3 linked regions of the Ovis aries genome follow. The protein of the gene in region 3 interacts with the protein of the main gene of each other region in a pairwise test. Links are inferred from orthologs where the notes say so. Each region holds a gene or a part of one and is shown on either strand. Other genes may lie near its edges.

Region 1 (3,645 bases), on a different chromosome or scaffold from region 3:
GGAGGAGGAGTTGAAAACAACCGTTGAGGGGAAAAATGCAAACCCCAAAGCTCAGGGCATGTGGGGAGGCAGTCATGCAGGTGCCTAGAAAGCTAGGTTAGAACAAATGTCTCTGGGGTCTGGCCCTATCCCCTGCTCTGCCCCCATGGGAAGTCCCCCCCACTGTCTGACCCTAGGCCTGCCTGCTTCATTCTATATATAGCGATCTCACCAGATGGCAGTTGCTGGGAGGTCAGGGCTCCCTCGAAGGCCGTCTCCTCTTCCAGCTCTAATCCCCTGTATCAAAGGGATGAGGCTTAGGGCCCCTGCAGCCAACCCCCCCCAATCCTGACCAGCCTCCGACAGGGGGTTGCGGGTGATGGGAGGGGGCCAGGTCAGGTGAGAGCAAGCACCGTGGGGAGGAAGGTGAGGCCAGATGGCAAGCGCCTGGGGCCAGATGGAAAAGCAGGAGGGGCAAAGCCTGTGCTTGGAGGGGTGGGGAGGGGCCTCTGTCAGCCTCTCAACATCCCCCTTCTCCACTCTCCAGCCCCTTTCATTTCTGCCCTCAGACCCTTCCCTCACCCCAACCTCATCTCTACTCTCCTCTCTTCTCAGCCTCCTTCCAACCACAGCAGGTCCCTGTGCCCAAAGCGTGCTGGCTGCAGTAAGCAGGTATGAGCTTAGGTCTTAAGAAAGGTTTTCTGAGGGGGCTGGGGTGGGGGATGGAGGTGCGGGGACCCACCCATCCAGCTGACAGGCAGTGATCCAGTCCCGCATGACCACCAGGAAGGTGTCCAAGTCCACAGTGGCCTGAGGGCCCTCCCCATTGGGGTCCAGGCTGCAGGCCAGTGTTTGGAGGCGAGCATCCTGGGGACCCTGTCCAGTCACGGCCTCCAGGTAGGCTAGCAGATGGGTCACAGCCACAGTGCCTGGGGACAGAGAGGCTGTGAGGGAGGCTGCGTCAGGATAAGGAGAGGGGTGGGGACCACGGGCTGGGCTGGTGGCACCCCTGCACCGTGGCCTTTGGGCAACTCCTTCTTCTTCCCCCGAGTCAACGTTTTCACCTGGAAACGGGGCCCAGTCATCTGCACCTCAGAGCTGGACCAAAGAGGACCAGCTGAGCCCCACTAGGCCCACAGTGGCTGCCCTTTCCCCCTCCCCCAGGCTCCAAAGCCCCGCCTTCCTCTGCTTACCCTCCTCCCCCAGGTTTCCTCCCCTCACCATCCCCTATCCATTTCCTTCCTGAAGCTTCCCAGTCAACCACATCACCCCAGCCCATCCCTCTGTCTGTGGCCCCCCAGTTCTCAGCCCCCCAGCTTCGTTCCTTATTATTCCTTGACCCTCTGACCTGTTCTCTGGGGGTCACAAGCTTCGAACGTGGAGTTGAGTATTTGCTCCTCTAAGCTGAGCAGTGTCCCCAGGCTCCCGTCCTCTGCCTGGTCCCAGAGGTACACTGAGGAGACAAGAGGGCCAGCCCATCTGTGGGGAGGGGGACGATGAAGAACAAAGAGGGGCTCCTGCAGAGGGGAGGGAATTCATTCCAAGCTGCCTGGGGTTTGGGCTGGTGGGGGCCACAAGGTGAGGGTCCTCGAGTCACCTTCCCCATCCCCCGATTTGGGAATGTGGGCCCCCCTCATCCTTCAGGCCAGGAAGTGCCCCCCCCCGCCCCCGCTGTCTAATCCCTTGTGTCCAACCGGCTCAGGAGCCCACAATACTGAACAAACCCTCTTATAGCCTTTTCCCCTCTCTTCCCTGGCTTAGAGGGGGCGAGGGACAGAGGAGGATGAAGAAGAGAGGATTCTGGGAGAAGCGGAGGGTGAAGGGGGCCCAGGAACCAGGAACAATCCAATATCGCGCGGGCAGCCTGGATCGATCCCGCCTGCCCTCAGCATCTCCGGTCTCTCAGCCTGCCTCAGGGCTGGGTCTCTCCTCCCCACATCCCTGAGGCTGGCTGGCATCATCAGCGCCCACGGGCTGGGGCCTGAAACAAAGGGGGATGGGACAATCCAGCCAGGGTGAGTGGTGGTGCGGTTCCGACCTCAGAGTTCCAGCTGCAGGACTGTGGGCAAGTCTCTTTGCCTTTTGGAGCCTCAGTTTTCCCACCAGTAAAATGGGTGGATAGAGTGATCCTCCCCCTCCCTGGGGCTGGGAGGGTGAGGTCTGTGTAAGTGAAGAGCACTTCCTGCTTCCCACCTCCGCACAATGTGAACATCCTGGGGTCTGTCTGCTGCTGTATCCACTGTGCCCACACAAAGCAGCACTCAAAAAATGCTCCAAGATATAGAAGGAGCCTACACATTCTCCACCCCTGGACCCACTGGATCTCTCCAGGGGCTGGAAGTGACCGCTGAAGCTCCTGCCCTGCCCCTGAACAGATGGGTGTAGCAGAGTGCAGGCTGCAAGGTCTGGCAGACTCAAGTGCAACCTGGGCAAGGGACTCAGTCTCTCTAAGCCTCAGTTTCTTCCTATGGAAAATGCGTGGGTGGGTGAGTGGGGGCTAATTCCCTCCTAGAGAGGAGATAAGATATTAATAAAATCTGGAAGCTCGATAATAAAACTGCACATTTATTCAGCATTTACTAGGAGCCACGCCTCTTCTGAGCATTTGACATGAACCACAGTGGCTGCTATGATTACAAACCAGGATACTTAGGCACAGACAAGTGGGAAACTTGCCCAAGGTCACATGTTCAACATCTGATTGCCATTTCTCATCGCACTAACTCTTCAAGGGTTCTCTGTACTGAGCTAAAAATTTAGCCCCTTCGGGTTTGAACTTCGGCTTCTAAGGAAAGGGAGCAGGACCTACAGTTAGGGGAGACGTGGTGCCCCCCTACATTATACAGGAGGACCCTGTGGCCCAGTGAGGTCACCCAGGACTGCCTGGCTCCAGATGTCGTGGGATCTGAGGAGCTGCATGGATCTACAGCGCAGATGCGACCCTCAGCCTCCCGGGGCCCCTCAGGAAGAAGTCACTCTGCTTCTCTCCTGTTCTCTTTCCTTCCTCAGTGTCTCTACCTCTCTGTCTGTCCTGTCCTTTCTCCAGTTTTGTCTCCGACTCTTTCCACTCTCCTCCCTATCTCTTTGGCCCTCAAGTCCCACCTGCCTGTCTCCACGTCCTCCACCCCCATCTTCTCGTCTCTGTGCTGCTTCTCCCGTAACTCAGCGACTCTCCAAGGCTTCTCTCTCCTTCCTCCACTGTCACTCTCTCTCTTTCCATCTCCTGCTTTCCTCAGTCTCCATCTCTCCTGGGTGTGTCCCTCCCTTTTCTCTGGGAGTCTCCCAAAGCGCGGCCACAAGTTCCTCGGCGGCCGCACGCCCTCTGCTGGTGCACATGAAGTTTACACGTTCAGATGCTGGTCACTTGGTCAGCCTGCCCAGGTGTCTGCCTCCTGCCTTCCTATCTGGCAAGCCTCCTGAGGCCAGAGAGAAGACACCGGCTTTGAGGCTAGATGCTAAGAGCCTCTAAGAAAGGGGCCCTGTCTCTCCTCTAGGGTGGGAGTCTCCCTTGGCTCTCTCACTGTTTAGTAGATGAGTTTCAGAAAGGACAACCCAACATCTTCCTCCTGAAGCCACTTTCACACCCATTTGGTCTGTGTCCAACTGATCATTCAAAAGTTAGTAACTGGGTTCCTATTATATGTCAGGTATTGCTCCCTAGCAGCA
Region 2 (3,645 bases), on a different chromosome or scaffold from region 3:
ATAAACCAGTAAGTATGTTTATAGTTAACAATAATTGAATGTTGCAAGCTGATACTTATTTGCATACCATCTCCTGCAAAACCAAGATTTAAGTTGGCAAATTATTTTCCTTCTTCTGATGTATGAAGAGAAAAATTCGCTGAAGTCAACAAATAAGTGGGCCTTTGTGAAATCTGCCTTTGAAAGATTCACAGAAAGAACTCATTGAAATTTTTTTTGCCTTTGAAAAGCACAACCTGTTGACTGTTGAAATGTCATAAATTCCGAAGAGCTTCTTTGACTTGGGCAAAGTTCTAGGTTGCTATTATATTTAACAGTGGGAAAGACGGTGAGCGCTCAGCTCCTCTTGTACAGTGCTGTCTGCAGGCTTCCCTGTCTGCATTTCTCCTGAGCACCAACTCTCCACCTCTTGAACCCCAGATTCTCTTCAGTCAAAATGTGCTTTTAGATGAGGATTTCTCACCCTTAGCCCTGCTGACTTTCGGGCCAGGAGTCCTTCGCTATGGTGCTGTCCTGTGCCTTGCAGGGTGTGTTGTGGCATCCTTGACCTCACCCCAGTAGCATCCCTGGTCGTGATGACCTGAAGCGTCTCTGGATGTTGCCAGGTATGCCCTTCCCGAGGCAGAGTCAGTTCCCGTTGAGAATCACCCTTTTTGCTGCCTGAGCACTGAGGGTAAGGAGTGACTCCCTCCCAGCTGCTGGCTCACTTTTCTCTGTGTGAAACCAAAGCATGAGCCCGGTTGGCATGAACCTCCCTTCACCCTAGTCAAAAAACTTAAACTGTGTTAACACAGTTTAAAACCCATGCAGAGTATTAAACCACCCTGGCTGTTAATAGCTGGTGGTGGGAATAGAAATGTTCAAACTCTCAACGTTATCCATAACAATCTCCAGGAATGCTGATGCTTTGTGTCAAAACTACTTAGCATTTTTTTTCTGCTCACTAATGGACCACCGTCACTATCCCATTTCTTCGAATGATTGGTGGTCTTCGTTCCTTTTTTCCCTTCCCTCTTCCCACAGCATGTTCTGTCAGTTGTGGATAGTTGAGGACTGTATTCTGGCCCCAGCTGTGCTCTTGGAGGTTAGCTCTGTGTGTTGAGGTCTTGCTTGCCAGGGCCTCACTCCTCTCCCCTGGGAGACTAAGGGTAGAGCTCGCTGTTCTCCGTTTGCTGCATGGACCCCCAAGGGCTTCCATGCTTCCCCGGCCCCCACATACTCACTCATCCCCAGTAGGTCTTCAGAGGGGATCACAGCGCAGTCGTGGCTGGGGAAGTGAGGAACACATTGCCTCCCCAGGATGAAATACCATAGACACTGAATTTGTTGCACCTTCATCCCATCGCTGCAGTTGTCTTAAGTTCAGGAGACAAATCACCCTCTGGGTTACGTCCCCTCTGGCCTTCTGCCCCCGCCCAGCCAGTTTGGGGGATGTTCGCGTCTTCATAGTGACTTGTGGCTGATGATTCCTGAGCTTGTGCAGCTATGCTCTGCTGATTTTTCATGGCAGGAATTTGATAGTGCAGTGCGCACAGCCCCTTTTCTCTTTCTTTGAAGTATTAGTCTCAGCCGGACTTCATTATTTGCCCTCATCCATAATTTCTGGAGCCCAGTTTTAGATTATGAAGATACTAGGTGATAAAGTGATCTGTTTTAAAAAAATGTGACATTGTACAGTTTGGATGAAACGCTACCCTGGGTGGTGTCTGCTGAGACCTACTTTACTTTGCATGAAGAAGTCCTTTAATACGTGGTTGGTGACACTTGGGCTTTCATTTATTTCTGAACAGCATGATGTAGAAATAAATAAAATTATACCCACAACTACATCAAAGACAGAAACACCAACGGTGTCTAAAGCTCTGAGTTCCTCCTTGGATGACACTGAAGTTAAGAAGGTGATGGAAGAGTGTAAGAGGCTGCAGAGCGAAGTCCAGAGGCTGCGGGAGGAGAACAAGCAGTTCAAGGTAATGGCATTTTGTTTCCTGATCGTCTTCAGGGAATTGGGGCTTTGCTACTATGGTCTTGGGTGAGGAGGTTGATGCAATTTGTGGAGTTGTCTTGTATTTGCACGTTTTTCCTCCAGGCTGAAGTTTCCTAAGGTTCTCAAAACAATCCCTGGACACATGCCTACGTGCATCCCAAAGTAAGAACCAGTGTCCCTTGAGCAGTATTTTTTCAACTATTTAAACTCCTGTCTCCTCATAAAATGACAACAGACAAATAAAAAATCCATTAGTGTAAATTGAAATTAAAAAAACAACAATGGTTATCTTGAGTTCACATTTTCAAGCCCCTTTTCCATCCCCATTGGATGAGAATCTTTTTGAAGAGAGTAAAGACTGACGTGTATTCTGTTTTAAGGCAATCATCATTCTGATTTTTGAATATCCTAAATAGGTCTAGCAGTGGGGTCTCATCCTCTATCAGTATGGTCCGGAGACTGGAGCTGGGATGCTGTCACATCCATGGGGGAGATTACAGGGAACCAGGGGCTCCAGCTTGTGGCCCTGGACCTGGCGAGTGGCCTGGCGCTGGGGGGTGAGGTCGCACTGGTGCTGGAGCGAGGCAGGTGTGCTCCTCTTGGCTTTGGAGGCCTGCGGTAGTGTGGAAATGACCAGCCAAACTTGGACTCACTGTGTAACTTTGTCCATCACAGCGGCTTCTGGCCTCTGTTTGCAAGACCCTGTTAAGGCCCTTCCAGTGTTGAAAGTATGCCTTTCATACACAGGGTTAAAGAGAGTGTTTCTGAACATCTGATTGTAGGATCTTTTGTTGCAGCTTAAGTCTTGAGGCTGATCTGTTCTTTTCATCTTGATCATGTCCCCAGCCACCATAGACTGTCACTCCCTGACTGCGTAGCACCAGGTACACACCATAAATTCACTGCAGGTGACTCTTCCTTCTGTTACTCTGATGAGGTAGGAGACATGGGGGGCCAACGGGGTTTAGAAAGTGGCATCCTTGTCTTTCTCTGCAGTAATCATGCTTTGCCTCATTCAGTGACTGCTGTTGGTATGGAGTAAATTATGAGGCTGACACTCTACTTTTGGCTAAAAGTCTAAGATACGCCTAAAGCTTCTTCTTGAATGTATTTCTCTTCTTTGCCATTTAAAGTGATAAATAGGTGGAAATAGCTTCTATATAAACCCAATAAAATAAATGCTGTACTTTGCTGTGCCCATTTTTTTTTTTTTTGAAGTTAATCGAATAGCACCAGTCATTTATCAGCATGCAGCAATATTGGCCATGCCCCTCAAGCAAAGTGTCTTTAAAATATTATCAGACCAGTCTTGACATTAGAAGATTCTTTATCTTGCCAAACAAGGATTTCTTGTTTTGTGTTGTTTCATACTTTCATTTGGCCACACATTTGCTAAGACCCTCCTGTGTGCCCAGCACTGTGGGATACAGACGTGGGTGGTCCCTGCCCTTAAAATAAGCCCCAGGGTAGCCGGGGAGACACAAATACTGAACCAGTCCCACAGAGGTGGCCATGAGTGTTGTGAGGGGTGGGCTTAAGGTGCTGGCTGCCTCTTGTCATCAGATCTGTCAGACACTTGATTAGTGTGAACGAACTGAAGGAGAAGAGAAGAAAGTGCAGCTGTTGTGGAGGGTGTCAGGGGTGGATTGAGGGTAATTAGA
Region 3 (3,830 bases):
TGAGGGTGCAGGTGGGCTCTGCCCCCTCCGCGTGTCCAGGGGCCTCTCAGTCCCCACCTCGGGTGCCAGGAAAGACCCAGGACTTCCTCCTCAGTCAGAGGGGCTGCCCCCTCCTCCGAGCTCCAGGGGGACTTCATTAACCTTCACACCAGGACGTGTGACCTCTGGCACGCCGGCCACTGCACATGGGACATACAGATCTGTCTCTGGGGCCTGATTAGTGACCCTCCAAGGTCAAAACCGGCATCTCCTGTGACACCCAAAACGGGGCCTGCCACACGGAGGCGGTTGCTGTAACAGGGCTGTACGGAATAAAATGGAAAAATAACCCTCCTCGAATTTTTAACGCCAGATGACCCAACCGCTCATCCACTCCTGGTGACAATGAGGCACGGCTCTGTGGAGGACTCACTGTCACAGCTCACTGCAGCAGCTCGCGGGAGGACGTGCCAAGAGGAGCTGAGGCCCGACAATGCCCAGCATCCTCGGGAACCCTGCCCCCATCCTGTCCCTGGCCCACCGCCGCCTCCAAGGCCAGGCTACATGCCCACCCTTCTCTCTGAATCCTTCCTGCCTCTCAGTCCACAAGGGATCCCGTCCTCCTCTGAAACTCCCGACTCCTGGTTGAGGACAACGCCTCTGCCGCTGAGTCCTGCTCCATCTTGCGCTCCGGGCCTAGCACCCATAGGCTCCGTTAGGTAGGTTCTGCCCAGGAAGGAAGGTGGGGAAGGGCTGGGGTCTAGATTCCAGGCTTTGCTGCCTCATCTGGACAGGCTGACCCTCCCTCTTCAGGTGCAAACCCTCCCCGTGGCTCCCTGAGAACCTGAGCTGGTCAGAAATGCCACCCTGGGCTAAGACACCAGACCCAGCAGCTCAGGGAGCTAACGGCATCGGAGAGTCTGGTATTCAGCCCCTGACTGTAGGGAGGCCCCCAAGGGCAGGCTCCCTCCACGCGCCGGCTCTGCAAAGAGGCCAGGGGAATCTTGGCAGCTGGCACCTCCTTGGGGAAAATCCTAAGAGAGAGACAGACAGTAGCCGGTAGCCAAGAAGGGGTGAGAGGGACTGAGGCTCTGAGCGCCTGTTCTACCGGGCCTCCGGGCCCTGAAACCGTTGACACTCCTAGTTCAATAAAACCAGTGACTGATGAGGGACAGGTCAGGCTCCCACGGGAGGCAGGGCGCAGATCCAGCCGGGAGCTTTTCTTCCAAAGACCCAGCTGGGAAGCCACCTCCCCGGCCCTCCGCCCCACCGCGAATCTCGCCCCCCTCTCTTCCCAGGCACCTGCCCCTCCCCCGCCCCCACCCCTTCCTGCCCACCCATTCGCCTCGGCCCGCGGCGGCAGGAAGGGAGGTGCTGGGCTGGGCACGGGCCGTGAAGAGCCACCTTCCCTCTTGGCCCCGCTACCGCCACCGGGCGTCTCCGGCCATGAGCCCCACGGAGCCCTGGAGCCCCAGCGCGGGGACGGCGCCCTGGGACTATTACTCGGGGTCGGGCGCACCGGGCGAGCTGGAGCTGGAGGAGCTGTGTGCGGCGCGGGACCTGCCCTACAGCCACGCCTACATCCCTGCGCTCTACCTGGCGGCCTTCGCCGTGGGCCTGCCGGGCAACGCCTTCGTGCTGTGGCTGCTGTCCGGGGCGCGCGGCCCGCGGCGGCTCGTGGACACCTTCGTGCAGCACCTGGCGGCCGCCGACCTGGGCTTCCTGCTCACGCTGCCGCTGTGGGCCGCGGCGGCGGCGCGGGGTGGCCGCTGGCCCTTCGGCGAGGGCCTGTGTAAGCTCAGCAGCTTCGCGCTGGCCGGCACGCGCTGCGCGGGCGCCCTGCTGCTGGCCGGCCTCAGCGTGGACCGCTACCTGGCCGTGGGCCGCCCGCTGGCCGCGCGCTCCCCGCGCTCCCGGCGCTGCGCGCTGGCCGCCTGCGCGGGCGTGTGGGCCGCGGCGCTGGCCGCCGGCCTGCCGTCGCTGGCCTTCCGCCGCCTGCGGCCGCTGCCCGGCGGGGGCCACGGCAGCCAGTGCGGGGAGGAGCCGTCGGACGCCTTCCAGGGCCTGAGCCTGCTGCTGCTGCTGCTGACCCTGGTGCTGCCCCTGGCCGTCACCGTCGTCTGCTACTGCCGCGTGTCGCGCCGCCTGCGCGGGCCGCCGCACCTGGGCCGCGCGCGGAGCCGCTCGCTGCGCATCATCTTGGCCGTCGAGGGCGCCTTCGTGGGCTCCTGGCTGCCCTTCTGCGCCCTGCGCGCCGTCTTCCACCTGGCGAGCCTGGGCGCGCTGCCGCTGCCCTGCCACTTGCTGCTGGCGCTGCGCTGGGGCCTCACCGTCGCCACCTGCCTGGCCTTCGTCAACAGCTGCGCCAACCCGCTCATCTACCTGCTGCTCGACCGCTCGTTCCGCGCGCAGCTGCGGCAGCGCGGGGCCTGCGGGCGCGCCGACCGCCCGGCGCGCTGGAGCAGCTCGGCGTCATCACTCTCCGGCGACGACGGCTCCCCGTTCAGGAGCCCGGCCCGCGCGGGCGGCCGAGCCCAGACGGCGAGCGCCCCCAAGGCTGTCGGCCCGTAGCTGCTCGGCCGGCGGGCTGCGGGTGGCGCAGGGAAGCGAAGCGGGCCGCTCCCCACCGCCGCCTACCTCCCCACCTCCCCGAGCGCAGCGGACTGCTCCGCCGGGTGCGCGGGGCCTCCCGGGGTCTCCCTCACGAGCTTTCCCAAAATCTCAGCTCTTCCAGCGTCCACCCCCCCCAACCCCCGGCTCGGCTCCGGAGACCCGCTCTCCTCCTGCTCCGCCCAGTGCGCACCTGAGCTTTGTCTCCAGCGCAGTAAACGTCCTGCGAGATGGACCTGCCACGCCGACCCGGGCTCGGAAAGGGAAGTGGCCTCCCTGCTCTGCGCCCTGGGAGAGACGCCCAGAGGCCACTCTCGTCTCGGCGGCCCGTTACCTTTGGTCCCTACAGTCGCCATTGCCTGCTGAGAAATACCTTCTCCAAGCCGAACCCTCTGGCTCCTCTCCAAAGAATCCCGGACCTTTGCGCTCTGCCGTCTTGGTGGCTGTGCTGAGTCACGCGTCCGCATCTTCAATTTCAACACTCACCAAAGCATGGGGAGCACGGTGCTGTCGCGCTCACCCCTTCCTGCTGCCAGCGACCCCAGGAGGCCCGTCCTTCATCTCCCCAGCTCCCAAGAAGCCGCAGGACTCACCCTGGACTTGGGCGGGTGCCTCCCTGCAGACAGAGGGTTCCAGCATCTGTCCCCGGGCACTCGGATGCTCTGACCGGCTGCCACACTGGGCCCCGCAGTGTGAGTTCCCCTTTCTCAATAAACACTTGCTGCCCTCACCCGACAGCTGTGTCTGCCTTTACTTGAGTGTAAGGGACTGAAATGAGTGTGAGGGGGCCACTTAATCACTGGGTCAGACAAAACTCAATCCAGGAGTTGAGGCTGACCTCAAAGTGGTCAGGATTTGGTGTCAAGTTGGGCTAAGGACAGCGGCCCCGCCGTGGGCCCCCCAGGAGGGCAGCCTGTCTTCTCTTCTTACTATTTTAAAGGACGTTTCCCATTTTGGAGGTTTCAGAGAGAGAGGGAGGGGGAAAAGACTGGAGCACAGCTGCCAGCCAGGTGTCACTTCAAAGCGGAAGTGTGGCCTTGTGGCTGTCAAATCCTGGTGGAGCTTTCTCCTCACTCCCTTTGGGCCCATCCAGGACAAATGCTGAAGGGCATCCATGTTCTGAGTCTGCGGCATCCTTGGGGGTTTCTGGAGGGGTTGGGAATTCAGCCTTTATACTTTTAAGCAGATATGGCCTAAAGAAACGTCAGTGCAGGAAAGAACTCAGGAATTCTCCTGGAGAG

Evidence for each region.
Region 1: the proteins of GPR25 (region 3) and KASH5 interact in binary tests that used the Homo sapiens proteins (3 or more experiments, as listed by UniProt). The two-hybrid records come from large-scale screens. The link is inferred for Ovis aries from reciprocal best matches to the Homo sapiens genes GPR25 and KASH5.
Region 2: the proteins of GPR25 (region 3) and VAPB interact in binary tests that used the Homo sapiens proteins (3 or more experiments, as listed by UniProt). The two-hybrid records come from large-scale screens. The link is inferred for Ovis aries from reciprocal best matches to the Homo sapiens genes GPR25 and VAPB.

The regions. Positions count from the first base shown.
Region 1 is NC_056067.1:55,594,497-55,598,141, reverse strand, and holds part of KASH5 (protein KASH5), read right to left. Parts: intron 1,433-3,645; coding exon 1,328-1,432; intron 909-1,327; coding exon 722-908; intron 277-721; coding exon 212-276; intron 1-211. UniProt on the Homo sapiens protein: As a component of the LINC (LInker of Nucleoskeleton and Cytoskeleton) complex, involved in the connection between the nuclear lamina and the cytoskeleton.
Region 2 is NC_056066.1:57,609,215-57,612,859, reverse strand, and holds part of VAPB (vesicle-associated membrane protein-associated protein B/C), read left to right. Parts: coding exon 1-8; intron 9-1,790; coding exon 1,791-1,967; intron 1,968-3,645. UniProt on the Homo sapiens protein: Endoplasmic reticulum (ER)-anchored protein that mediates the formation of contact sites between the ER and endosomes via interaction with FFAT motif-containing proteins such as STARD3 or WDR44.
Region 3 is NC_056065.1:78,883,412-78,887,241, forward strand, and holds GPR25 (probable G-protein coupled receptor 25), read left to right. Parts: upstream 1-1,346; 5' UTR 1,347-1,425; coding exon 1,426-2,550; 3' UTR 2,551-3,324; downstream 3,325-3,830. UniProt on the Homo sapiens protein: Orphan receptor.